Macaca fascicularis: one gene and its partners. The protein of the gene in region 1 interacts with the protein of each later gene in a biochemical or structural test. Links are inferred from orthologs where the notes say so. Each region holds a gene or a part of one and is shown in the gene's direction. Other genes may lie near its edges.

Region 1 (3,500 bases):
TGTATTTTTAGTATAGACGGGGTTTCGCAATATTGACCTGGCTGTTCTCAAACTCCTGACCTCAGGTTATCCACCTGCCCTGGTACCTGGCCTCTTTTAGTTACTTTAAAATGTACGATTAAATTGTTTTTGACTATAGTCACCCTTAACAAGTACCTTTGACATAAGATTTGATTCTGAATTTTACTCAAATGAATGTTAAGATCCCAAGGTAAGTTAAACTTTGGACTATCTCACCTGTTTAATCTGTACCTATGCATGACTTCTGACTGTGATTGAGGATACCTGAATATCACTGAGTTTGTGTGATTGATGAGCCTTGAACTCAAGAGTAAATCCAAGTCTGCAGTCAGGACCCCCCAATCCTCAAAATAATACCATCATTAGGATTTATTCAGTACTTTCTCCCAAATCAATATTTAATTTAAATTGCCTAAATTGCCGAAAGACTTACAATGTGGTATCAATTTATATTTAAATATGCTACGTACAGCTTTTTAAAGTATCTTTGGTTCTCTGGAAACTTTAGTCAGAATTTAAGGAAGTTATTGTGGCACCATTTTCTTGAAAAAGGCTACTGATTATTCTCTAATCTTACACTTTCAACCTAAGTCATTAAAGGAATTTTAGTTACTGAAGATTGTATATTCATGAACTCTTCACTTAGCTCATTGGCAGCAAAGGAGTTTTATTTAGGGGATTTGAAAAAGGAAATGGGTATATTTTCAGCTATTCTGGGACACACTGTCTGAATTTAAGCAGTTACAACTGATTCCACTAAATAAACATTTGTTTTCTAAAACAATGATCAACATTCAGCATCTGTTCATTTAATTGAAAATTCAAAGTTACAATATTTTCTTTGCATGATTCTTTTTCCTTTTCCCCCCTAGTGTTTACTAAAGGACAAGTCACCACAGGACAGTACAGGATGCTTGCCAAAAGAGGTGGATATGTCTGGGTTGAAACTCAAGCAACTGTTATATATAACACCAAGAACTCTCAACCACAGTGCATTGTATGTGTGAATTATGTTGTGAGGTAAGTTTGAGAAATAAACGTTTTTGGGGAATAAATAGTGATTCTTTTTGGATACTCTGTTCATTTATAGGAAGATAAGATTATAAATATTAACTAAATTTTAATTTTTTTTTTTTTTTTTTTTTTTTTGAGACAGAGTCTTGCTTTGTCACCCAGGCTAGAGTGCAGTGGCCGGATCTCAGCTCACTGCAAGCTCCGCCTCCCAGGTTCACGCCATTCGCCTGCCTCAGCCTGCCACGTAGCTGGGACTACAGGCGCCTGCCACCTCGCCTGGCTACTTTTTTGTATGTTTTAGTAGAGACGGCGTTTCACCGTGTTAGCCAGGATGGTCTCGATCTCCTGACCTCGTGATCCGCCCGTCTCGGCCTCCCAAAGTGCTGGGATTACAGGCTTGAGCCACCGCGCCCGGCCAAATTTTAATTCTTTTACATCTCTACCAAATTATTATTTTCTGTACTCTGACCTAGGTTTCCAGTCCAGCTATTCTACAGTGATACCACTAAATACTGTCAGTAGTTGTCTATCCCCATACCTTCACTCCTATTTTTAAAAAGACCATGAAAAAAACACCAGATCCATCGACTGGTTTGGTCTACTTATACAGGTATTGGCATATATTATCTCAAGACAGCTCTGTTCTTTTTGTAGGAAGAATACTGACCTACGTTTGTATCATAGCTCTAGCACTCATTAGCTCCCTGACCTTGGGGAAGTCTCTTCATTTTTCTGAATTTCATCTATGTAGATAATCGTTCAGAAGGTTATAATGAAAAGTAAATGAAATTCTATGAGATTAATAAGCTGTATGATGTAATACATGGCTCTTGTATATTCATGAACTTTTCACTTAGCTCTTTGGCTTGTGAATATTATGTACATCACAATTTAATCTTTAATTTGATCTATTTTACCAGACTCCTGCCCCATCTAGTCTACCTGTCCACATTATTACCACCTTCTAGTCCACCTTGCCCATTACTGCCAGGCTAAGCTTTCTAGTGTGGATATCTCATCATCTTATTTTCCTTAGAATTTTAGTGATCTTTTTATCACTTCCAAGATAAACACTTGCCTAGGTGTATAGCATCCTTGTTTACCATCATACTCATGCATCAGAGATTTAGCCTTCCCTTTAAAATCTAGGGTCACCCCTCTTAGGAAGACTTTGGCCAGTTTTTATTTTTGCCACTTCTGACACCATCCTTTAATGTTTTTATATTAGTGCCACAGAGTTCTTTTGTGACTTTACCATTATGTATGAATCTTCCACTTGGAATGTCTTTCTCTTCCTCACACCCCAGTCTGCCTAGCAAATGCCACTTGATCCCAAGTACCAGCTCGTTAGCTTCTCAGTGAAGCAAGCCTTCTCTATTTTAGCAGTTATCACAGTGTATTTTAATTGTTTACATATCTACTTTCACACTGGGTTATAAATTTCTTAAGGTCAATCTTTGGTTCTTAAGGTTAATCTTTGCATTCTCAGTTCATCTCAGATAGTGAACATTTAATATGTTAATTAAAGGAGTAATTTACATTTAAGCCACTCGTGAAGATAAACTGCTGCTCATCATCCCTCTTCAACCCTGTCCTGTAGGTGGTATCACCTTATGTTCTTACCACCAAAGAAAATATGGCCCCTCTCTTAGGACTATCCTTAGATCATGCCTCATATATTGATGCCAAAGAGTTCTTTTGTGCCAATTTCATAACGTGTGTCAGCACAACAATTCTGAAGATTTGTTGGTGTCCTTCATGTACTTGACTACAAATTGCCTTGTCATCATCACTCTTCCCAAAGGATATCTGAAATTCTTTCTTTCTTTTTTTTTTTTTTTGTGAGACGGAGTCTCACTCTGTCGCCCAGGCTGGAGTGCAGTGGCGTGATCTTGGCTCACTCCACCTCCTGAGCTCAAGCAATTCTCGTGCCTCAGCCTCTCAGGTAGCTGGGACTACAGACGTGCACCACCACACCGGGTTAATTTTTTGTATTTTTAGTAGAGACAGGGTTTTGCCATGTTGGCCAGGCTCTTGAACTCCCAGGCTCAAGCGACCCATCTGCCTCAGCCTCCCAAAGTGCTGGGATTACAGGCATGAGCCACTGTGCCCAGTCTAGATATCTGAAATTCTTAACTGAAATTAGTCAAATTATCTTGTACTGGGAATTTTTTTTTTAATTTCAACTTTTATATTTGATTCAGGAGATACATACATAGGTTTGTTACATGGGTATATCATGTGATGCTGAGGTTTGGGGTACAATTGATCCTGTCACCCAGATAGTGAGCATAATACCCAACAGTTGTTCAACCCTTGCCCCTCTCTCCTAGTAGTCCTCAGTGTCTGTTGATGCCATCTTTATGTCCACAAGTAACCCAATGTTTAGCTCCCACTTACAAGTGACAGCATGCAGCATTTGGTTTTCTGTGTCTGGGTTATCTCACTTAGGATAATGGTCTCTG
Region 2 (4,254 bases), on another chromosome or scaffold:
ATGTCTATAGGAATGTGTGCTGGTTGTGTGTGATGCTGATAGCTGTAACTGCTCTGTGGCCTTGGTGATTGTATTGGTGAGTGTATTGGTGAGGCTGGTATTGTTTGGGACATCAAGGCCAAGGGATGGGAATTTGGACCTATAGGTGGGCCTCCGGTCTGTGCATGCCTGATGCCTGAGAATCAGAGGCAGTGACTCACTACCGCTTGTGTGCCTGTGCATGTGTGCCTCTGAGGTCTGTGTGTGTTTCGGTGTGAATTTGGCTCCTTTTAAACACCCATGTGTGGCCAGGTGTGGTGGCTCATGCCTGTAATCCCAGCACTTTGGGAGGCCAAGGCAGATGGATCACTTGAGCCCAGGAGTTGGAGACTAGCCTGGGCAACACAGAGAGACCCTATCTACAAAAATAAAAAACAGAAAAAGTTAGCCAGGTGTCATGGTACACACCTGAAGTCCCAGCTACACCGGAAGCTGAGTTGTGAGGATCACTTTAGTTGGGAGGTTGGGCCTGCAGTGAACTGTGATCGTGCCACAGCACTTCAGCCTGGGCAGAAGGGTAAGACCCCATCTCAAAAACAAAACTAAACAAGAAACACCCTTGTGTGGCCATGAACCCTGTGTGTGCCCTGAGGACTGTGGGTTTTTGTGCAATCCTCACGCATGTGTAGATACCAGTATGCATGTCCTTGTGCTCACCCGAACCGCCCTACGCCCTCAGGTGGCCTGCTGGGGACTGGTGCAGCCCCCTGAAGACACTCCCAGTTGCTCGTCGCCCTCCCACCTCCGCGTCCGCCTTACCGACCCCGCGGGAGCCTTGAGTCCCAGCTCTCCAGAGTTACGGTGGAGGGGGCGGGGCATTCAAAATGACCTTATATTCCTTCGTCCCCCAAAATGTTCCCAGCTCTGTAGCGTTCCGTGGATTTTTTTTGTTTCATTTTTTAATTTTGTGTAAAGATAAGGTCTCACTCTGTTGCCCAGACTTTCCCTGGTTCTTTATTCTGATTCCCACGATTGTCCCGAGGGGGCAGGGCGGAGCGGGTCTTGAAAATACACATTGGCACAACATCCCTTCTAGTCCGCGTTCCCTTTTCTCAAGGGCATCCCGCACTTTTTCTCCTCCGTTATAAAAGATACTTATGTAAATTACTGACGTGCGAATTTACATACATTTGCCAACTAACTGCGCAGCCATTTATCCATCTCTCACCCCCGTTCCTGGGCTGCGAGGAGGAGGAGGAGCTGACCCTGTAAATGAAGTCACGCGCACCGCGCTGCCGAACCCGGTGCCCGCGCTGGGGGGGAACGCGGGGTGGGCCTGTTCATGTAAATCACATAATTTGCGTGCTCCGCCCCGCCAACGCCACTTGATTCCAACATGCAGGAAACGCCCCCTCCCAGACCCGGCCCCTCACACTGCGATCCCCCTCCCGCGCAAAGGGGGCGGGGCGGAGGATGATGCAAATGAACCTCGTGTCGGCCACGGAGCCCTGTTTCCTTTCTCCTTGGCTGGGGGCTTGTCCCGAACTTCCTCGCCCAGCGCGGCTCAGGTCTGCGCAGGCGCCGTTGCCTCCGTTGGGGCGCGGTCACGTGCCCAACGGGCGAGGCGGGGCGGGGCGTCGCGCGCGGTGGGGGCGGGGTATGGCGCGCTGTGCGGCGCAGGGCGGCTGGCACAAACGGCGGCGCCGGGGCCGGAGGAAAAAGCTTGGTGAGGAGGTCGCGGGGCGAGAAGGGAGCGGGAGGAGACTGAGTCGGAGCCGGGGCGCCGACACGAACAGGGCGGGGTGTGGGGGCGCCCGCCGGGGCCTGCCAGGGCGACCCCGGTAAGGGGGATGTGGGTGCGGCGCGGGGGAGGGGACGCGCGCCGGGGACGTTGGGTGCCGGCCGTTGGGGGGGTTGGGGTGGGGGCGGGGAGCGCGCGCCGGGCGGAGGCCGCGGGGAGGGGGAGGGGAGGGGGTCCGAGCGGCCCCTAGGCCCTGTCCCTGTCGCTACAGCTCTCCAAAGTGGCCTCAGGGCCCGCCCGGGGTTGGGGGCGTGGGGGTGCCCCGGAGGAGGGTGCCTTTTTCCCTCGTCCTGTCTCCGGGTGCGTGCACCCTCTTCCGTCCTTCCCTCTGCCGCCGCGGACCCTCTCCCCGAGGGCCCCTCCCTTCGGTCAGTCTCGGGACCTCCCTTCCGTCTGGGCGTGTGTCCGCCCCCGGCCGGCTTCCTCCCGTCGGGCTCGGGTCGACCCTACCGCCCCGCTCCGTCCCGGGCCCTCCCTCCCAGCTTCCCTCCCAGCTTCCCTCCGGTCTGTTTTTCTGTCTCTGGGTCCCTCGTTCTCTTTGTCTTTGGACTCCCCAGTTTCCTCTGTCTTTTGACCCCCCCGCCCCCAACTCTGATTCTCTCAGAATCCCCCACATTTATCTGTCTGTCTCTGGAACGCCGAGGCAGATCCCTCCTATTTTCCAAACTCCCTCCTTCCCACTCCTCCACACCACCCTTTTCTACTCCAGCCCTCCTTTCTCTGTCTTTGGTTACCGCGTCCCACAACCCGCACCACAGTCCTCTGTGTTAGGGTCGTCTACCCAGCCTCTGGCCTCCAGCCTTTCCCTATCACTGTCCCTTGTCTGTCAGCGGACTCTCACACCTCCAGATTCTCAGGGTCTTCTCCCCGACTTGGCCCCAGGTTTTGGGGGACCTCTATAGTCTGTCCTGGTCGTCTTCCCCACTCCTGCCCATGCCATCCCCTCTTTCCCTAGCCTGCCTGTCTCTAGCTCCTCTCACATCCCTTTTCTTTTTTCTAGCCACCCTGAAGGGTCCCTTCCCAAGCCCTTAGGGACGGCAGAGGACTTGGGGACCAGCAAGCAACCCCCAGGGCACGAGAAGAGCTCTTGCTGTCTGCCCTGCCTCACCCTGCCCCACGCCAGGCCTGGTGGCCCCCAGCTGCATCAAGAGGCAGAGGAGGAGGCGGAGGAGGGTGGCACCATGGGCCCGGGCGGTGCCCTCCATGCCCGGGGGATGAAGACACTGCTGCCATGGACAGCCCGTGCCAGTCGCAGCCCCTAAGTCAGGCTCTCCCTCAGTTACCAGGGTCTTCGTCAGAGCCCTTGGAGCCTGGCCGGGCCAGGATGGGGGTGGAGAGTTACCTGCCCTGTCCCCTGCTCCCCTCCTACCACTGTCCAGGAGTGCCTGGTGAGGCCTCAGCGGGGAGTGGGACTCCCAGAGCTACAGCCACCTCTACCACTGCCAGCCCCCTTCGGGACGGTTTTGGCGGGCAGGATGGTGGTGAGCTGCGGCCGCTGCAGAGTGAAGGCGCTGCAGCGCTGGTCACCAAGGGGTGCCAGCGACTGGCAGCCCAGGGCGCCCGGCCTGAGGCCCCCAAACGGAAATGGGCCGAGGATGGTGGGGATGCCCCTTCACCCAGCAAGCGGCCCTGGGCCAGGCAAGAGAACCAGGAGGCAGAGCGGGAGGGTGGCATGAGCTGCGGCTGCAGCAGTGGCAGTGGTGAGGCCAGTGCTGGGCTGATGGAGGAGGTGCTGCCCTCTGCACCTGAGCGCCTGGCCCTGGACTATATCGTGCCCTGCATGCGGTACTACGGCATCTGCGTCAAGGACAGCTTCCTGGGGGCAGCGCTGGGCGGCCGCGTGCTGGCCGAGGTGGAGGCCCTCAAACGGGGTGGGCGCCTGCGAGACGGGCAGCTAGTGAGCCAGCGGGCGATCCCGCCGCGCAGCATCCGTGGGGACCAGATTGCCTGGGTGGAAGGCCATGAAGCAGGCTGCCGAAGCATTGGTGCCCTCATGGCCCACGTGGACGCCGTCATCCGCCACTGCGCAGGGCGGCTGGGCAGCTATGTCATCAATGGGCGCACCAAGGTAAGGCCAGGTGGGGGCCTCTCTGGCGGGGCTTTGCAGCATCCTGGTTTGGCATTCAGTGCTCTGAGCACAGTGGGTTTGGAGACAGGCTTCTGGGGGGCTTCTGGGTTTAGGCAGTTCAGTGGAGTGGGTTGCTCACTTGTGGGGACTTGGGGGGGGCCTTGTCCTCCCTGTGGGCCTTAATGTGTGCACCTGTAAGCTAGGAGTTTGTCCTGGAGCCACAGTGGTTCTTGACTTTGCCAGGAACCCTCTTGAAGAAACTCACGAGAGTTGCTGACATTCACAGCATGGGCCTTGGTGGGGTTCATGGCCTCCTGGTGTCTGTCTGGGGCCCCAGACCAAGCGCAGTGATGTAGACAGGCACACAGTTCACTTGTCCGTCCTCTGTTGCTGTCTGTCCCTGTCC
Region 3 (4,022 bases), about 41 Mb from region 1:
GTCTAAGGATCCCCAACACCTCCAAGGTTCTCATAGCTGGCCTTGACCAAAATATCTGAAAATTCTCATGTAGAAACTGGTTCTTCCAGCCTGAGCAACATGGTGAAACCCCAACTATACAAATAAATACAAAAACTAGCCGGGTGTGGTGTCCGCGCTTGTGGTCCTCCGCCCGCGCTCGTCCCAGTTACTCGGAAAGCTGAGGTGGGAGGATCACCTGAGCCCGGGAGGTCGAAGCTGCGGTGAGCCAAGATTGTGCCACAGCACCCCAGCCTGGGCGACAGAGGGACAGCCTGTCCAAAAACAAAAAAACACCAAACCTGTCTTTTAGGGAAGGTTAATCACCAAAATGTCAAGTGTTAGATACTTAATTTGGAGACCTCAAATCGATCGGCAAAACGATGGGCTTTTAAAAAGCATGCCGGGTGTAGCTGGGTAAGCATGAATTTATTCACCAAGGGCCCGATTCCCAAGCTAAGGGATCCTGAAGTGTGAAGGACATGGCTTCCGGGGAACCCAAAGGTAGGGAGCGCTCCTGAGCCAGCAGTGGGTCTGGAGACTCCCCGAGCGCGCAGGCCGCGGGACGGCGTCCCCTGCGCGCAGCAGCTAGAAGCCAACAGCCCAAAGGCCCCCAGGGAGCAGAGCCCCGCGATCCCGGCGCCGCCTGCGGCTGGGTTTTTTGGCAGCGGGCGCGCCGTCCGTGAGGATGACGGCTCCGGTAGTTTCCCAGGCGTGCGAGACCCGGGGCGCTCCCCGTCCACGCACGGCCCTCCCTCCAGGCGCGCCTCCCGCCCCAGCCCCGCATTCTGCGCAGCCCGGGTGACCAAACTACACCTCACTTCAAAGGCCCCCACGCCCGGGCGTGCCCTCCGCCCGCGCTCGGCAGGTGGGAGTGCAGGGAAGAGAGCGCGGGCGGCCCCAGAAGGCGCCCGGACCTTCCCGAGAATTCCAGGCCGCGCAGGCGCATTGAGGTCGGCGCGGGGGCGTGCGAGAGGCGCGGGGCGGTGATTGAGGGAAGGTTTCCCGGGCTGGGCCACGAGCAGGGCCTGCGCGCGCCAGCGGGAGGGGCGGGCCACGGCGAGGGCGAGGGCGCAGGCGCAGGCGCGCGGCCGCGGCGGCGGTTGGGGAGGGTTCTTCCGGAAGGTTCGGGAGGCTTCTGGAAAAAGCGCCGCGCGCTGGGCGGGCCCGTCGCTATATAAGGCAGGCGCGGGGGCGGCGCGTCAGTTGCTTCAGCGTCTTGGTGCTGCTGTGCGGTGGAACGTTTGCAGCCTTTTAGCCAAGGTGTGAGGGGCGGTTGTGAGGGCCTGTGGAGGTGGATTGGGGAGTGGGGGCGGTTGGCGCGGAGCGGAGGCTGTGGGGGCCGAACGGGAGCCCTGAACCCGCCAGGGCCGCTCTCCCGGGAGGCCGCGCTGCCTATTCCGGAGGCCGTGGGCCCGCTGCTGTCTCCGCAGCCCGCCTCAGGAATGGGCTGGGCGGCTGCTCCCCGAGGCTCCGCGGCAGCCCCGGAGCTGGCGCCGCACGCGAGCAGAGCGGCCCTTTGGCTGGGGGCCCCCCGGGCGGCCCAGCTGGGGCGCAGGCGGAGGAGGCCGCCCTGGCGGAGCCGCGGCCCGCGCGGGAGAGCACACGGGGTGTCGGTTGGGGACCGCGGCGCGGGACTGGGCCGGGCCTGCAGTGGCCTCCCGGAAGCGCGCACACGCTCGTGGTAGTTACCGCGCTCCGAAATGAGGTCATCCTTTGTCAGCCGCCCTTCTATTTTCGGTTTACTTAAACTTCGCAAATCTGCAATCCGGCTTTAAAAATATTGGGAGGACGCGATGGAATCTCGTGTTGCCCCTGTAGACGCTCTGCAGGGTTTTAAACCGGCGCGGTGTCGTTCCAGATGCCTGAGGAAACGCAGACCCAGGACCAACCGATGGAGGAGGAGGAGGTTGAGACGTTCGCCTTTCAGGCAGAAATTGCCCAGTTGATGTCATTGATTATCAATACTTTTTATTCGAACAAAGAGATCTTTCTAAGAGAGCTAATTTCAAATTCATCAGATGTAAGTCGTTTATTAACCCAGAATAGGATTTTGGTTTCAATATGAACTTCTTGGGGGCTGTATGCTTAATTAATATTTTGTGTTAATAGGCATTGGACAAAATCCGCTATGAGAGCTTGACGGATCCCAGTAAATTAGACTCTGGGAAAGAGCTGCATATTAACCTGATACCAAATAAACAAGATCGAACCCTCACTATTGTGGATACTGGAATTGGGATGACCAAGGCTGACTTGATCAATAACCTTGGTACTATCGCCAAGTCTGGGACCAAAGCGTTCATGGAAGCTTTGCAGGCTGGTGCAGATATCTCCATGATTGGCCAGTTCGGTGTTGGTTTTTATTCTGCTTATTTGGTTGCTGAGAAAGTAACTGTGATCACCAAACATAACGATGATGAGCAGTACGCCTGGGAGTCCTCAGCAGGGGGATCATTTACAGTGAGGACAGACACAGGTAGGTACCTGAACACTCACTGGTTAAGTCAGTGGCGGAATGGTGGGGTGTTGCAACCCTTGGACCCCTGGGGATGCGGCGAAGTTCACAGAAAGTGTGTTTACCCAAGGATCAGGAACAAGCTAGAGCTCTGAATTAGTGTGTAATGGCATGACTTGGTGATTACTTCTTTTGGGCAAGGCACTTAGATCTGCTGTGGGAGCCTTTGCATCTGTAGTAAGGGCAAACCTCGCTTCATAGACACGTTATAAGGGTTAAGCATGGCGTTGAGCACTAAATTGAATGTATTATTGAGTCAATTTTCCTTATTTCTCTTGCAGGTGAACCTATGGGTCGTGGAACAAAGGTTATCCTACACCTGAAAGAAGACCAAACTGAGTACTTGGAGGAACGAAGAATAAAGGAGATTGTGAAGAAACATTCTCAGTTTATTGGATATCCCATTACTCTTTTTGTAAGTTTCTACATAATTGCAGAGTGAATTACTGTCTGTAGGTGACTGGGGTGACTGTACTACATCCTTAGTTCCTAGGTCTGTTGAACTAGTCTGAAGCCTGGGGAACCTAAGCTCTACTAACTGTGAAGGTTCCTCGGGTTATTAAGTAGATATATCAAATATTGATGAGAAGCTGCCTGGCTGCTTCTCATCCTCGGTAATTTAGGCTTTGGCCTTAGGTTGAAAGTAGTGGGGCAGCGCTATGACTTAGTTCTAGAGTGCAGCAGTGATGCGATTTCATGTCTTTTGAAGGTGGAGAAGGAACGTGATAAAGAAGTCAGCGATGATGAGGCTGAAGAAAAAGAAGACAAAGAAGAAGAAAAAGAAAAAGAAGAGAAAGAGTCTGAAGACAAACCTGAAATTGAAGATGTTGGTTCTGATGAGGAAGAAGAAGAAAAGAAGGATGGTGACAAGAAGAAGAAAAAGAAGATTAAGGAGAAGTACATCGATCAAGAAGAACTCAACAAAACAAAACCCATCTGGACCAGAAATCCCGACGATATTACTAATGAGGAGTACGGAGAATTCTACAAGAGCTTGACCAATGACTGGGAAGATCACTTGGCAGTGAAGGTGAGTGAGGGACTGATGGATGCTTCAAGCTTGTCTTTAGATTATCATCCCACCACCCCAAATATCTGCTATAATGCATTGTTCATTGATACTTAGTGTGTTTGTTCTATTACAGCATTTTTCAGTTGAAGGGCAGTTGGAATTCAGAGCCCTTCTATTTGTCCCACGACGTGCTCCTTTTGACCTGTTTGAAAACAGAAAGAAAAAGAACAACATCAAATTGTATGTACGCAGAGTTTTCATCATGGATAACTGTGAGGAGCTAATCCCTGAATATCTGAGTAAGTATAGATAGGAAAAATAATCACTGTCACTGATTAAAGAAATACTTCTGGCTGGGCATGGTGGCTCACACCTGTAATCCTAGCAGTTTGGGAACCCGGGGTGTGCGGATCACTTGAGGTCAGGAGTTCAAGACAAGCCTGGCCAACATGGTGAAACTCCATCTCTCCTGAA
Region 4 (4,022 bases), on another chromosome or scaffold:
CTGTTGCCCAGCCTGGAGTGCAGTGGCGCGGCTCACCATAACCTCCTCCTCCCAGGTTCAAGCGATTCTCCTGCCTCAGCCTCCCGTGTAGCTGGGATTACAGGCACCCACCACCACGCCAAGCTAATTTTTGTATTATTATTATTTTGTTTTCGAGACGGAGTCTTGCTCTGTCGCCCAGGCTGAAGTGCAGTGAGGCGATCTCGGCTCACTGCAACCTCCGCCTCCCGTGTTCAAGCCATCCTCCTGCCTCAGCCTCCCAAGTAACTGGGATAACAGGCGCCCGCCACCGCGCCCAGTTAAATTTTATATTTTTAGTAGAGACGGGGTTTTACCATGTTGGCCAGGCTGGTTTTGAACTCCTGATCTCGTGATCCGCCCGCCTCAGTTTCCCAAAGTGCTGGGATTACAGGCATGAGCCACCTCGCCCGGACTTAATTTTTGTATTTTCAGTAGAGACCTGGTCTCAAACTCCTGATCTCAAGTGATCCGCCCGCCTTGGCCTCCCAAAGTGACAGGCGTGAGACACCGCACCCTCCCTTCTGCTCTGTACTTCTTCAACGTACTTATCACAACTTGAGTATTACACGTATTTGTCTGTCTGTCTCTCTCTAAAAAGTAACTCCCAGGAACATGGAGTGTGCTCAACAAACATCTGAACCAACCTGATTCGCGTATCCTCTCTGTCTCCTTTTAATCTCAACAATTGTGTTTCACACTTTCTCAGTATGCAAATATCTTTCTCGGTCTGGGGTCATGCCTTTCGGTTTCTGCCCCAGTGCCAAGGCCTCTTAAGTTCATCAGCGTGTGGACCACGGATTCGCAGAGGCCTGAGCTGTGGCGCGGCCGGGCTATGGCGCGTCGTCGGGCCTCAAGCACAGCCCCTTGTCCCTCGCTGGCTCTGTTCGGTACTTCCTCGGGTGCTCGCCCGGGCCCCTGCCATCTCTCACTTCAGCCCCGTGGGTTCTGCCCCACGTCTGTCTCCCTGGGTGTCTGAAGAGACAAGTCCCGCGCCGACGCCCCCGCGAACGCACGTGACCGCGCCCGGTGGTGCCCCCTTAGTCAACGCCGCGCAGTGCCCCTCCCGGAGCCCGCCGCTTCCGCTGGGCCGCGCGGCCCCGCCCCCAGCCGCTAGGAACCAATCCGCATGCACGCTGCTTGGCCCCGCCCGGGCACCCTTCTCGGCGCGCGCCCCTCCCTGCGCCCGCCCGCCGGCCCGCCCGTCAGTCTGGCAGGCAGGCAGGCAGTCGGTCCGAGTTGTCGTGGGCTCTTCAGGTCTGCCACACGGCGTCTTCTTTCCTCCTCCCGGTCAGCGGCGGCGGCTGCACCGGCGGCGGCACAGTCCCTTCAGGAGGGGCGATAGAAGCTGAGCGGCGGCCGCCGAGCGTCGAGCTCAGCGCGGCGGAGGCGGCGGCGGCCCGGCAGCCAACATGGCGGCGGCGGCGGCGGCGGGCGCGGGCCCGGAGATGGTCCGCGGGCAGGTGTTCGACGTGGGACCGCGCTACACCAACCTCTCGTACATCGGCGAGGGTGCCTACGGCATGGTGTGGTGAGTGTCCGCGCCCGGCCACGCCCGGCCCCCCCGCCGCCCGGGGCCGCAGCGGACGCAGCCTCGGCCTCGCCGGCGCCTCGGCCTCGGGCGCCGCGGCGACCTCGAACCCGGACTTCACTGCGGTCCGCGCGCCAGGGCTCGGGCGGGGCCCTGGGCCGGTTGAGGTTTAGGTGGTGTTGCTCTCGCGCTTCCCGGGCCGGCGGTCGCTCGGGAAGGGGCGCAGCGTGGGGGGCGGGGGGCGGAGGCCGGGACTAGTGGACCCTCGGCCCCGGGCGCAGCGCCGCCTTTAAAGTCTGGACCCTCGGGAAGGCAACGGAAGCGCCTCCACCCCCCAATTTGCTAGTATCATGGCCTTCTTTTGGACTTTCGATTGTAAAACCGGGAATTCCATCAGATGCTTGTCGGTGTTGGCGGCGGTGGCTGCTGAGGTCCTGAAAGCGGTTCGCCTCCGTGTGTGTGCAGAACACCGAAATAATTTTTCTCTCCTCGCCTCTGTTTGCAGCCAACGGCTTTCATTAACTGTCCTCAGCGGTGCTAATGGTGGTCTCCGCGCAGGCTTTCTAAAATGGATTACTGACACCAGTGTTGGTGGAGTATTTCCGTCTTGAAGTTTGTACTTTCAAGTGGATTTTAATATCGTACTGCTAGCGTTTCAGGAAGGATAAACCAACATTACTCTCTTCATTTATTAAAGATCCATTTAGAGTTGGGCCTAATTTGACTTTTTTTTAGCCCCCAAGTGAGCTCTTTTACCAGCATAAATGCTCCCAGATGTTTTAGCCCAATTGCTATGGACTCCTGTTAATGATTTAGTGGTCATTATGTATGCAGCCTTAATGGAGTTATTGCAGAATCACGTGTAGACTCCCTCATCTTGATTCAGGTCCCTTAGAAAAGTGAAATGATAGTGACGGTTTTTCTTTCTCTCTTTTTTTTGAGACGGGGTCTCGCTCTGTTGCCCAGGCTGAAGTGCAGTGGCGCGATCTCTGTTCACTTCAACCTCCGCCTCCTAGGTTCAAGCGATTCTCTTGCCTCAGCCTCCCTAGTAGCTGAGACTGCAGGCGCGCGCCACCACGCCCGGCTAATTTTTGTATTTTTTAGTAGAGACAGGGTGTCACCATGTTGACCCGGATGGTCTCGATCTATTGATCTAGTGATCCGCCCGTCTCGGCCTCCCAAAGTGCTGGGATTACAGGCGTGAGCCACCGCGCCCCGCTGACGGTATTGTTTTTATTAAAGCAAACTAGCGGTAGCATTTTGTGCTGGTGAGGACTTGTGGAAATAGATTTCCTTAAATCTGAATCTTGTGAATGTGTCTTTTGTGTTGACTGAAGGAAGTAAACTAATAATTTATTGAGCACTTCGTGGCAGGTACTGTGCTACATATATTATTTCATTTTATTTGAACAGCCACATTGAGGGAGGAAAAGATGGTGTTATTCCTTTTTTCAGGTGAGAAAGTGTTTCGAGGTGAAGCCAATTCCTGAGGTCATAGAACTAGAGTTATTAAGATTGTAGACTGAGATTCTACTAGACACACTGCAGCTCTTTTCAGCTGTCTTTAGGAAAACACTCTGCGTTCCTTAGTGTAATTAATACTTGCAGAATTTTCTGTATCTTACTGTTACAAAGTAAATACAAGTCTGTTTCAGAAATGTATTCAAATTTCAATCATCATAATTTTAGAAATGCCATAGAAGGCATGTTTTACCAAGTATGGTAGCTAGACAGAAAGATTAGTTAAAATTCTTTTAAAAGAGACTTTAATTGAATCTTTAATGTTTTCACTTTCTTTAGGAGCAAAATGCTGAATACAACTGTGAAAATTAATATGAACTTACAGGCTTAGGAGCCAAGAGAGAATTTAAATTAGGTCGAGCCTAAAAGAAGTAAGGCCCTGAAAAGTAATGAAGAGAAAGTATTGCCAGTAGCATTATTTCTCCACCATACATCTCATTGCTGTTGCACTCACTGGGAAGCGTGCCAGTGAACATGTCTCATTATGAGAGGCTCAGAATTTCCCATCACATCCTTTGGCCCTTTTAACAAGATTAGCTTATCTAAAATGTGGACTGAAAAAAGTCTTTTACGTTTAGGACATGTCAATTGAAAAGATACCCCCATCTGATAAGATTTCTCCTGTCTGATAAGGTTTTTATTAGTCTGAAGTTATTTAGATGTGGGAACCACTTCTGTCACTGCTGTAGGCTTATTTGACCATCTGACTCTCCATTTGAAATGCTAAGTCCTCTTTTTGTGATTTTCTTTTCCTAAGTGAAATACAAATATAATTGGAATTTGAATCCTAGATCCAGATTATAGCCTTTTATCAGGTTGATGACATACCCTGCTGTTAACCTTCTCCATTGCACGTTATTAGCATTTAATAAATGTTGGCTAGCAGTGCTGGGTTTATGGAGGGCTTGTTGAAATATTCACTAATATTTGAATAGTGATCTTTTAAAAAATG
Region 5 (3,500 bases), about 28 Mb from region 1:
AGTTTTAGAAAATAAAAAAGCCTGTACTAAAGTAGGCATCCTCTTGACATGTGTCAGTTTATTGCTTGGCATGTTTGTTATATGATCATTAAATTGTTCTGGCCCGTTCTTTTAACAATACAGCATTGAAGACTTCTCTTCTGTTAAACACTAAATCCCTTCCCCGGCTTGATGAGGTTTAGATAGCAACTCAGTTGGACGGATCTGCTTCCGGAGTTTGTTACTGCCCCGTGCACAAATTGGCACAGAAGTGAATGGCTAGTTATTGAAGTCAGGCTTGCTTCTTGGTGCATCCTTAGCCTCATGGTTTTAGACCCTGTCAAAGACGAGCAAATAGTTGGGAATGTGCCCAAGCAAAGACCCATCTCCTATGGCACTCATCCAGAAAACACACTGATAAAATTGGCCGAATGTAGCCTCAACTGGCCCACTGATGCTTGAAATGATTTCCTTCCATTGTTTCCAACTTGATGCATGTGGTTTCTGGAACCAGGAGAGAGGGTGAATATTCACTCTGGCCAGAAAAATTATCTCTGTTCCTCCCTCTTAAGCAGACAGATACTTTGCTGACATGTAGGGGTTTTGTCCTAATAGTAAGTCCTCTGGAATTGGCTGTTTGTCTCTGTGTGTTTTATAGATGCAGCATTTAGTAGAGGGTGTACTTTTGTGAGTTTGTATCCATCTTTTTTTTTTTTTTCCCCAATATTTTAATCTGAGCTGAGTTCTGAGGCAGAGAAACACTCCTTAATGACCTGAAGAACGATGTTGCTTTTTCAAGGGTTGATGCTTAGATCAAGTCTTAGATCTTCTTGGGCCTTTGACAGATGTGTAACCCAATCCCCTCTTTATAGGAAAGAGACAGCCTGGGATCACAGTTAGTTGCAGAGTGAACTATGGTAGGCATCCAGACCACTGACCTTTTCCTTAGAGAAGAGCTGTTTCAGCATATAAGATTATAGCATTGATGTCGTACTTTTTCTTTTCAGACACACTCAGTGGGGGGAGCGTGAGATAATAGTGAATCCAGCCTGTAATTGTTTGTGGCTTAAGCGACTTTCATTATTGGCTCTGTGGTGGCTCTTATAATCCTAATAGCTGCTTCCAGGGGTGGGTAATTCTGTAGTCATTATAGGTGACTTTATTTATCTCTTCTTCTCTTGCTAGGCCCTTCAATTCTGTTTGCTACCAATCACCCTTCCTCAAGCCATGCTTTGCTTAGTGGTACCTTCATTTGTTAAACCTTTATTGCTGATGTTGCCTCACAGTTTCACCTTCTGAAAGATGCTCAAGCTAACAGCCTAACTTGAGCTCTAAGGATGACATTGCATTGACATTTTCATGTTCAAAGGCAGGATATGGGGATTGTTTGCTGCATGAGGATATGGAGTTTGAGGGAGATGGTGATTTAAGATTTAAAATTGTTGTGAAGTCAAGTTACTATTCAGCCTTATTGTCGATCTGGTATGCACGATCTAGTATGCAAGGTGTGTGATGCCTAGTTCCATGTCATAGGAGCAGTAGTTTCATGCTACTATTGAGAGTGACTCGGCAGCCACGTTCAAGTTGATTCATTGAACCACTAGCCCATTAGCTTGGGGCTGTACTCAAATGGTCATTTTACCGATGAAGCAATGCTGCCATTTATCAGGAAATCTATGGACTGGATCCTTACATGTATGTTTGAAGATAGGTCTTTTAAAATGACAGAAATAGCTATTGATCTTGGTAAAACGTGAATTTACTCTTTAGAGAAAGAGCCATTCACTAGTTCATTGATTTATTTATCACATTTTAGATGGATACCTTCTATATGTCAGGCACTGTCCTAGGTGCTAAGAATACATCAGTGAGTAGAATAGGAAAAAAATTCCCTGTTCTCATCTTATGTTGTTGGTTCCAATATTTTCCTTGCACCTACTGCATCCCTATAAAAAATATTGTTAAAACATGGCAGTATCCTGTGAAGAAAAGAACTGGCTTTCTGTACTTTGCCTTCTTCCCTCTCCCCACTCTCTGTTACAGTTTTTCCCATGGAACAATTAGAGGTTTGTTTTCTCTAATAGTAATTTTCAGTAGGATTTTTGGTATGGCTTTCTACTTTATTCCTCCACCTGATTGATACAGGTAGCAGTTAGACAAAGAGAGCTTCAGATTATCACCTGATTTGATAATTATTAGGAAGAAGACATGCATTAAGAAACACATATTAAGATACATGCATGGCTTTTTTCCTGAAAGGAATCTCCCTGTATTGTCTTTGTTAACAAGTTAGGGCGTGGCTTCCTATTGATCTTCCTCTGTTCCTTCTATCCTAAGCATTTTATTGAGTAAGCCTGACCTTTTCCTCCTTTGGTGATTGGTTCTGTCACTTTGTGTATGCAAGTACCTTTAGCCATTGTTCTGAAACAGTGTGAGTGATTCAGGGGCACTTGCTAAACAGTCATAATCCTTAAGCTCCACACCTAGTGACTCTGATTTTGTAGGTCTAGCATGGGAAACTAGAAACTGCTTTTCTAAAAACGAGTATTGAAGAAAGGCAGGGCATCCAAATAGGTTATGCAAATAGGGCATGTAGTTAGGTTACTTTAAGAAAGACTGTGTAAAATGTTCTAGAACTTTGGGAATATTGTTGAACTACTTTCTACTGGACAGAGCCATAGTATGACCTGGCCATTACTCTTATGCACAGAAGGGTCCAAATTTATGTACCATACATGAAATTAAGAAGCCAGCAACTACCTGTAAATGTCACATAGCACCCAAGGAGACTGTGTTACTTATCTGCTCACCAGTGGGAGGAGAAGATTGTCTGTCTCAGCTTTGTTAACCAGCTTTCTTGGGATTTCTCCATAGGCAATGGTGGCTTGCTATCCGGGAAATGGAACAGGTTATGTTCGCCATGTGGACAACCCCAACGGTGATGGTCGCTGCATCACCTGCATCTACTATCTGAACAAGAATTGGGATGCCAAGGTACTCTTGAATAATGGGAGTAGAGTGTGGGGTTAAAAACTATAGGAAAATGATTCAGATAACTTAGAGGAGAGTTTATATTGGGTTCATAGTTGCCCTATCTCCCACTGATGAAACATTTCTATTTCCACTTCATAACCTCCTGCGACAGTGGAATTAGTACTAAAGTTGTTAAGAAGAAAATAATGAAGTTAATTTGAAGGGGGATAGGTAGGGTGATTATTAACCCTACCTCTGAGAAGGGTGGTTGATGAAGAGAAGGTAATTTGATATTAGAATTAATGATTAATTTTTTTCAGTTTAAATCAGAGTTGCTCTGACTCTCAATGCAGAATAAGATGTACACTTTTCCCTCCCAGAAGCAGCATTGGGAAAGTTCCACAAAAATAGAACTGTAGGATATAAAACCATCCCCAAGAGAGATTTCCCACACAGTCCTCTCCCTCAGGGTGATATGTCTCATTGATCGCTGCTTGCCATGGCTTACTATGGTTTGTGAATGCCAAAGGCTTTGTGGCTTATTTTTG
Region 6 (3,500 bases), about 44 Mb from region 1:
GGTGCCGGGGCCAGGCGGGTCCCGAGGAAACTCAGGCTCAGAGGCTGGGAAAGTTAGGGCAGCCCCTGTGAGGGCGGCGCAGGGCTGGGGGGTTCTGGCTGCAGACGCGATGGCCGTGTCTCCGTCGTCCTGGCCTCCTGGTCAGTAAGGGGGCATTGGGATTCCAACCCACACCGCCAGGGTTCAGTCCCTGAGCTGGGCTCCATGCTAGGGGGAGCACGGGGGCCTGGAAAACAGCTCAGACCTCAGCAGTGGCTCCCAGGAACTGCTGAGGCCGAGGGGGGTGCGAGGACATGGTTCTGGACGAGGGGTGATCAGCCGCGGTGCGTGCTGGGCAGATGGGCCCTTGAGGTTTGTGCTCCTGCAACTCCTCTCTTCTCTCCTTTATCTCTTTAAGTAACAAGCCAAATCCGAACCAAATCAGCGTCAACAACGTCAAGGCCGGTGTGGTGAATGGCACGGGAGCACCGGGCCAGAGCCCTGGCGCTGGCCGGGCCTGCGAGAGCTGTTACAGTAAGTGCCCTGGATGGCCGGGGGCACACCGCACACCCGCCTGTGGGCCGTGGTGCCTGTGTTGGCCCTGAGGGCTCCAGCGTGGCCCAGCCTGGGAGGGGCCCACTGATGATGGGGGGCTGCGTCCCAGGGATGTGGTTGGGAGAGCCTTGGGGAATGTGCGGCGGTGCCTGGCGGGTGGGGCGGCCGGCGTGGGGGTGGTGGGGAATACTCTGACATCGCTGGTTCTGCTTAAGAATCCGTCTATTTCCAACTTTGTTGTCCGTAGCCACACAGTCTTACCAGTGGTATTCTTGGGGTCCCCCTAACATGCAGTGTCGTCTCTGCGCATCTTGTTGGACATATTGGAAGAAATATGGTGGCTTGAAAATGCCAACCCGGTTAGATGGAGAGAGGCCAGGACCAAACCGCAGTAACATGGTAAGGGGGGGACATCCGCCCTGCCTGCCGCGAGTGTGTCAGCCCTGCGGGTCCTCGGCCCCCGGTCATGGCACTGTGTCGGGGCGGTTATGCCCCCTTCCGCAGAGTCCCCACGGCCTCCCAGCCCGGAGCAGCGGGAGCCCCAAGTTCGCCATGAAGACCAGGCAGGCCTTCTATCTGCACACAACGAAGCTGACACGGATCGCCCGGCGCCTGTGCCGTGAGATCCTGCGCCCATGGCATGCCGCGCGGCACCCCTACCTGCCCATCAACAGCGCGGCCATCAAGGCCGAGTGTGAGTCATCCCAACGCCCCGCTCACTCTGTTGCTGCAGGCAGTGGGGAGGGAACAGCAACCTTGGGGCCCAGCCTGTAGCCCCACTGGGAGTTCTCATCTCAGGGAGCCCCATTTCCTCCTTGGTGCTGACGGCCGAGCGCAGTGAGGGCTCCCAGGTCAAGGCGCAGGCAGGGTCCCGTGCTCCCTGGGGATGCCCCACCCCTCACACTGTGTGGTACCCCGCAGGCACGGCGCGGCTGCCCGAAGCCTCCCAGAGCCCACTGGTGCTGAAGCAGGCGGTGCGCAAGCCGCTGGAAGCCGTGCTCCGGTATCTTGGTGAGCAGTCCAGGCGCGATGGGGGCTCCTAATGCTGCCTGCAGGCAGCTTCTGACCCAAGCTGATGCACTGGTGCTCCCAGCCTTCTCTAGCTAGGAGCTCCTGGACAGCCCCACAGGGCCTGGAACTGTCCTTTTGAGGTACTCTGCCCCGTGCCAGGCTCAGGCCGACCCACTGGGACCCCGGCTGCTTTCTGCTCCTGGGGTCTTGACGGGGCCCAGTGCAGAGTGGCTGCCGCCCTGTCTTCTGCGGGACCAGCCTCCTCAAGGCACACCCAGGGGGCTTCCCTGCCAGCCTCGCTACCGTTCCCTGTGTTCTGATCGTCCCTGGAGCCTGAGGGTGTAGGGTTTGGGCAGCGCACACCCCTGCCTGTAATGCCACTAAGGCAGGGTTGCACCTGCTGCCTACAGGGAGCATATTCCCGAGCCATGCCCACTCCACAGGGGCAGCACTCAGGCCTCTGTAGGCCCTCGGCAGGGGGAGGTGCACACCTGGCAAGCAGCCTCAGGCAGGGGTTCCCTTATCTTTGAGGGTCTGAGGATACCTGAGAACCTCAGCCAGCTACCCTGGCCCAGCCAGAAGCAGCTTGGGGGCTGGGCCAGACATTTGTGGTGGCGGTGGGGGGCCTCCCCCATTTGCTGGGCTCGAGTGGGCTTGTGTATCTGCTCTCCTGACACAGGGTGACTGTCCTGAGAAGGACATTCCAGAGCCATGAACCACGTGTGCTCTGCGATTCAAGTGGCTTTGGCATTGCTCCCTGTTTGGGGTCGTGGCCCCTGTCCTGTGGGAAGAGGTGGCTGGTATCAGGGCTGGTCCTCAGCAGCTGTGTCCCTGGCCAGGCTGGCTGGATGGTCGGTTCGCTGTCTGACCAGCAGCCAGCCCTCCACCAGCAGCTCCGGAGGCCTGGACATGGGGGCTGTTGAATAGGTGTTGTGCTCACGGGCCTGTGTATGGATCCTGTTGTGCGGGGGTGAGGGGCCTGGCCCCTGCCAGGTGGTCTCCCTGCTCTCTAGGTGCAGGATTGGCCTGGGCACACGTCTTGCGGGAGAGCACTTGGTGCTCCTGGGCTCCTGGCTCTGTGGTGACCTCCCTGCTTCCAGCCCAGTCAGGATGGGGCCTCAGGGGTGGGGGCCGCGTGGAGCTTGGTTCCTGGTCGTATCCCAGAACCATGAGGGCTGGAGCCTGGGCCTGCCTGCCTATCCCCTGCCAGGCAGAGGCGACTCGCTCTGCCTGTCATTCCTGGCAGAGACCCACCCCCGTCCCCCGAAGCCTGACCCCGTGAAGAGTGTGTCCAGCGTGCTCAGCAGCCTGACGCCCGCCAAGGCGGCCCCTGTCATCAACAACGGCTCCCCCACCATCCTGGGCAAGCGCAGCTATGAGCAGCACAACGGGGTGGACGGTGAGTGGCCCCCTCGCCCGGTGAATCCGGGCCTGCCCCACCCGGTGAGTGTGGCCCTCCCCGCCCGGTGAGTCCGGCCCGCCCCCGCCCGGGGCACCCGCGGTGCGTGCTGACGCTGTCTTCTCTCCCTCTCTCCCACCCCGGCGCTGCCAGGCAACATGAAGAAGCGCCTCTTGATGCCCAGTAGGGGTAAGGCCTGGGGCCGCGGGCGGGCGCTGCGCCAGCCCCGCCCGTGATGCCTGTGCTGTGCTGCTGAGTGTGTCCCCGCGGCGGGCGGCCCAGGGCCCATGCTTGGGGCAGTCCACGTGAGCCCGGCCACAGCCCAGTCCCCCACGTTCCTCCTGACATCACTGGTCCCTTGGTGAAGACCCCCTGAGCCCAGGCATCTGGCCCTCGGCCCCCTGGCCCCACACCCTGTCAGTGGACTGTCCTGGCACGTGTGGCCCTGGCGCCCCTGCCTGCGCTGTCTGCCATCGCGCTGTGACTGCCCGCATGCTGCCAGCCTCAGCTCCTGGGGCCGCCCGTGCTGTGCCTGCAATCCTTTCGTGCGCCTGCC
Region 7 (3,990 bases), on another chromosome or scaffold:
GTTTCACCACACCCATTTGACAGATGAGGACATTGAGGGCTCAAGGACGAGGCCACTTTCTAAGGTGTGAGAGGTCAGTTAGTCTTGGTCTCCTGCTCTGGGAATCTCACCCATCTGGCTCAGGGCTTTCAGAAGCCATAAAACCTTAGCTGTAAATCCCAGCCCCCATCACTCTTGGTGTTAGCTGTATTTCAGCGTTCTTAAGAACTCGGCCATGCAGCCTAGCTAACCTACACCACAGGTCAAATAAACAGATGTCAAGGTGCATGTGTAGCCTGCACAATGGACTGTGTGCTCTGTGCACTAAAAGTTAAGTGTCTGGGGTGGGGGCTGGGTGCGGTGGCTCACGCCTGTAATCCCAACACTTTGAGAGGCCGAAGAGGGCTGATCACCTGAGATCAGGAGTTCAAGACCAGCATGGGCAACATGGCAAAACCCCATCTCTACTAAAAATACAAAACATAGCCGGGTGTAAAGGTGCGCCTGTAGTCCCAGCTACTCCGGAGGCTGAGGCAGGATAATTGCTTGAATCCAGGAGGCAGAGTTGTAGTGAGTGGAGATGGCACCACTGCACTGCCTGGGCAACAGAGGGAGGCTACGCCTCAAGAAAAATAAAAACAAAAAAAAACTTAAGTGTCTGGGTTTGCAGAGTCCTAGACAGTGAGGAATGGGGTAGGGAGGAAGAACCCCAAATTTCTTGCCCTATTTGCCCCCATCAAATTCCTCAACATGGTTAACATTGTTTCTAGAACATGTCCTGGGATTGTGGGAAGGGAGACCACCCATTTGCCCGTCCCTGAAGCTTCTGGGCTTCCGGACCCAGGTACTTCGCGGGAACCCAGCAACCCAGGCATCTCTGAGTCTCCGCCCAAGACCGGGATGCCCCCCAGGGGAGGTGTCCAGGAGCCCAGCCTTTCCCAGATAGCACGCTCCGCCCGTCCCGAGGGTGCGCACCCGGCTGCACTCCCCTCCCGGGACCCAGGGCCCGGGAGCAGGCCCCATGACCAGCACGGGCCGTCTGCAGCAGCCCCGCTCACGCCCCAGCGAGCCTCAACCCAGGCGTCCTGCCCCCTGCTCTGACCCCGGGTGGCCCCTACCCTTGGCGACCCCTCACGCACACAGCCTCTCCCCCACCCCCACCCGCGCACGCACACATGCAGATAACAGCCCCGACCCCCGGCCGGAGCCGCAGAGTCCCTGGGCCACCCCGGTCGCTCGCTGCGTGCGTCCCGGAGCCGGACCGGGGCCACCGCGCCGGCTCTGCTCCGATCCCGCGCCCCCTGGACAGCCGCCCTCTCCTCCAGGCCCGTGGGGCTGGCCCTGCCCCGCTGAACTTCCCGGGATGAGGACTCCCGGTGTGGTCACCGGGCGCGCCCTAGGTCGCTGAGGGACCCCGGCCAGGCGCGGAGATGGGGGTGCACGGTGAGTACTCGCGGGCTGGGCGCTCCCGCCCACCCGGGTCCCTGTTTGAGCGGGGATTTAGCGCCCGGGCTATTAGCCGGGAGGTGGCCGGGTTCAAGGACCGGCGACTTGTCAAGGACCCCGGAAGGGGGAGGGGGTGGGGCAGCCTCCACGTGCCAGCGGGGACTTGGGGGAGTCCTTGGGGATGGCAAAAACCTGACCTGTGACGGGAACACAGTTTGGGAGTGGAGGGGAAGAAGGTTTGGGGGGTTCTGCTGTGCCAGTGGAGAGCAAGCTGATAAGCTGATAACCTGGGGGCTGGAGCCACCACGTATCTGCCGTATCTGCCCGAGGGAAAGCCTCTGTCACACCAGGATTGAAGTTTGGCCGGAGAAGTGGATGCTGGTAGCTGGGGGTAGGGTGTGCACACCGCAGCAGGATTGAATGAAGGCCAGGGAGACAGCACCTGAGTGCTTGCATGGTTGGGGACAGTAAGGACGAGCTGGGACAGAGGCGTGGGGATGAAGGAAGCTGTCCTCCCACAGCCACCCTTCTCCTTCCTCCCCGCCTGACTCTCAGCCTGACTCTGTCTTCTAGAATGTCCTGCCTGGCTGTGGCTTCTCCTGTCTCTGCTGTCGCTCCCTCTGGGCCTCCCAGTCCCGGGCGCCCCACCACGCCTCATCTGTGACAGCCGAGTCCTGGAGAGGTACCTCTTGGAGGCCAAGGAGGCCGAGAATGTCACGGTGAGACCCCTTTCCCAGCACTTTCCACAGAACTCACACTCAGGGCTTCAGGGAACTCCTCCCAGATCCAGGAACCTGGCACTTGGTTTGGGGTGGAGGTGGGAAGCTAGGTACTGCCCCCCTACATAAGAACAAGTCTGGTGGCCCCAAACCATACCTGGAAACTAGGCAAAGAGCAAAGCCAGCGGGTCCTGTGGCCTGTGGGCCAGGGTTAGAGCCCTCAGGGACCCTTAAGTCCCCGGGCTGTGTGCATTTCAGATGGGCTGTTCCGAAAGCTGCAGCTTGAATGAGAATATCACCGTCCCAGACACCAAAGTTAACTTCTATGCCTGGAAGAGGATGGAGGTGAGTTCCTTTTTTTTTTTTTTTTCCCTTTCTTTTGGAGAATCTCATTTTGCGAGCCTGATAAGATGGAAGGGAGAATGATGGAGGGAAAGGTAAAATGGAGCAGCAGAGATGAGGCTGCATGGGCGCAGAGGCTCACATCTGTAATCCCAGGGTTTTGAGAGGCCGAGATGGGAGAATTGCTTGAGCCCTGGAGTTTCAGACCGACCTGGGCAGCATAGTGAGATCCCCCATGTCTACAAACATTTAAAAAAATTAGTCAGGAGAGGTGGTGCATGGTGGTAATCCCAGATACTCGGGAGGCTGAAGCGGGAGGATCACTTGAGCCCAGGAATTTGAGGCTGCAGGGAGCTGTGATCACACTACTTCACTACAGCCTCAGTGATGGAGTGAGGCCCTGTCTCAAAAAAGAAAAGAAAAAAGAAAAGTAATGAGGGCTGTATGGAATACGTTCATTCATTCATTCATTTATTCAAGTCTTATTGCATACTTTCTGTTTGCTCAGCTTGGTGCTTGGGGCTGCTGAGGGGCAGGAGGGAGAGGGTGGCGTGGGTCAGCTGACTCCCAGAGTCCACTCCCTGTAGGTCGGGCAGCAGGCTGTAGAAGTCTGGCAGGGCCTGGCCCTGCTCTCAGAAGCTGTCCTGCGGGGCCAGGCTGTGTTGGCCAACTCTTCCCAGCCTTTCGAGCCCCTGCAGCTGCACATGGATAAAGCCATCAGTGGCCTTCGCAGCATCACCACTCTGCTTCGGGCGCTGGGAGCCCAGGTGAGTAGGAGCGGACACTTCTGCTTGCCCTTTCTGTAAGAAGGGGAGAAGGGTCTTGCTAAGGAGTACAGGAATTGTCCGTATTCCTTCCCGTTCTGCGGTACTGCAGTGACCTGTTTTCTCCTTGGCAGCAGGAAGCCATCTCCCTCCCAGATGCGGCCTCGGCTGCTCCACTCCGAACCATCACTGCTGACACTTTCTGCAAACTCTTCCGAGTCTACTCCAATTTCCTCCGGGGAAAGCTGAAGCTGTACACGGGGGAGGCCTGCAGGAGAGGGGACAGATGACCAGGTGCGTCCAGCTGGGCACATCCACCACCTCCCTCACCAACACTGCCTGTGCCACACCCTCCCTCACCACTCCCGAACCCCATCGAGGGGCTCTCAGCTAAGCGCCAGCCTGTCCCATGGACACTCCAGTGCCAGCAATGACATCTCAGGGGCCAGAGGAACTGTCCAGAGCACAACTCTGAGATCTAAGGATGTCGCAGGGCCAACTTGAGGGCCCAGAGCAGGAAGCATTCAGAGAGCAGCTTTAAACTCAGGAGCAGAGACAATGCTGGGAAAACACCTGAGCTCACTCGGCCACCTGCAAAATTTGATGCCAGGACACGCTTTGGAGGCAATTTACCTGTTTTTGCACCTACCATCAGGGACAGGATGACCTGGAGAACTTAGGTGGCAAGCTGTGACTTCTCCAGGCCTCACGGGCACTCCCTTGGTGGCAAGAGCCCCCTT

Evidence for each region.
Region 2: the proteins of HIF1A (region 1) and EGLN2 form a complex in vitro, tested with the Homo sapiens proteins (3 studies listed by BioGRID, with this or other methods). The link is inferred for Macaca fascicularis from reciprocal best matches to the Homo sapiens genes HIF1A and EGLN2.
Region 3: the proteins of HIF1A (region 1) and HSP90AA1 form a complex in vitro, tested with the Homo sapiens proteins (4 studies listed by BioGRID and IntAct, with this or other methods). The link is inferred for Macaca fascicularis from reciprocal best matches to the Homo sapiens genes HIF1A and HSP90AA1.
Region 4: of the proteins of HIF1A (region 1) and MAPK1, one has a biochemical effect on the other in vitro, tested with the Homo sapiens proteins (3 studies listed by BioGRID). The link is inferred for Macaca fascicularis from reciprocal best matches to the Homo sapiens genes HIF1A and MAPK1.
Region 5: the proteins of HIF1A (region 1) and EGLN3 form a complex in vitro, tested with the Homo sapiens proteins (5 studies listed by BioGRID, with this or other methods). The link is inferred for Macaca fascicularis from reciprocal best matches to the Homo sapiens genes HIF1A and EGLN3.
Region 6: the proteins of HIF1A (region 1) and MTA1 form a complex in vitro, tested with the Homo sapiens proteins (2 studies listed by BioGRID). The link is inferred for Macaca fascicularis from reciprocal best matches to the Homo sapiens genes HIF1A and MTA1.
Region 7: the proteins of HIF1A (region 1) and EPO form a complex in vitro, tested with the Homo sapiens proteins (2 studies listed by BioGRID). The link is inferred for Macaca fascicularis from reciprocal best matches to the Homo sapiens genes HIF1A and EPO.

Annotation. Positions count from the first base shown.
Region 1 is NC_088381.1:129,572,753-129,576,252, forward strand, and holds part of HIF1A (hypoxia-inducible factor 1-alpha), read left to right. Parts: intron 1-893; coding exon 894-1,041; intron 1,042-3,500.
Region 2 is NC_088393.1:47,914,023-47,918,276, forward strand, and holds the start of EGLN2 (prolyl hydroxylase EGLN2), read left to right. Parts: upstream 1-1,454; 5' UTR 1,455-1,547; intron 1,548-1,633; exon of another isoform or gene 1,634-1,820; intron 1,821-2,780; 5' UTR 2,781-3,011; coding exon 3,012-3,848; intron 3,849-4,254. UniProt on the Homo sapiens protein: Prolyl hydroxylase that mediates hydroxylation of proline residues in target proteins, such as ATF4, IKBKB, CEP192 and HIF1A. Target proteins are preferentially recognized via a LXXLAP motif.
Region 3 is NC_088381.1:170,187,694-170,191,715, reverse strand, and holds the start of HSP90AA1 (heat shock protein HSP 90-alpha), read left to right. Parts: upstream 1-1,222; 5' UTR 1,223-1,281; intron 1,282-1,879; coding exon 1,880-2,041; intron 2,042-2,130; coding exon 2,131-2,497; intron 2,498-2,817; coding exon 2,818-2,951; intron 2,952-3,245; coding exon 3,246-3,566; intron 3,567-3,681; coding exon 3,682-3,847; intron 3,848-4,022. UniProt on the Homo sapiens protein: Molecular chaperone that promotes the maturation, structural maintenance and proper regulation of specific target proteins involved for instance in cell cycle control and signal transduction.
Region 4 is NC_088384.1:31,257,621-31,261,642, forward strand, and holds the start of MAPK1 (mitogen-activated protein kinase 1), read left to right. Parts: upstream 1-1,222; 5' UTR 1,223-1,430; coding exon 1,431-1,549; intron 1,550-4,022. UniProt on the Homo sapiens protein: Serine/threonine kinase which acts as an essential component of the MAP kinase signal transduction pathway. MAPK1/ERK2 and MAPK3/ERK1 are the 2 MAPKs which play an important role in the MAPK/ERK cascade.
Region 5 is NC_088381.1:101,740,303-101,743,802, reverse strand, and holds part of EGLN3 (prolyl hydroxylase EGLN3), read left to right. Parts: intron 1-2,853; coding exon 2,854-2,973; intron 2,974-3,500. UniProt on the Homo sapiens protein: Prolyl hydroxylase that mediates hydroxylation of proline residues in target proteins, such as PKM, TELO2, ATF4 and HIF1A. Target proteins are preferentially recognized via a LXXLAP motif.
Region 6 is NC_088381.1:173,653,187-173,656,686, forward strand, and holds part of MTA1 (metastasis-associated protein MTA1), read left to right. Parts: intron 1-397; coding exon 398-513; intron 514-781; coding exon 782-933; intron 934-1,038; coding exon 1,039-1,228; intron 1,229-1,455; coding exon 1,456-1,545; intron 1,546-2,791; coding exon 2,792-2,944; intron 2,945-3,097; coding exon 3,098-3,133; exon of another isoform or gene 3,134-3,500. UniProt on the Homo sapiens protein: Transcriptional coregulator which can act as both a transcriptional corepressor and coactivator. Acts as a component of the histone deacetylase NuRD complex which participates in the remodeling of chromatin.
Region 7 is NC_088377.1:49,317,185-49,321,174, forward strand, and holds the start of EPO (erythropoietin precursor), read left to right. Parts: upstream 1-1,190; 5' UTR 1,191-1,409; coding exon 1,410-1,422; intron 1,423-1,998; coding exon 1,999-2,144; intron 2,145-2,402; coding exon 2,403-2,489; intron 2,490-3,073; coding exon 3,074-3,253; intron 3,254-3,384; coding exon of another isoform or gene 3,385-3,387; coding exon 3,388-3,540; 3' UTR 3,541-3,990. UniProt on the Homo sapiens protein: Hormone involved in the regulation of erythrocyte proliferation and differentiation and the maintenance of a physiological level of circulating erythrocyte mass.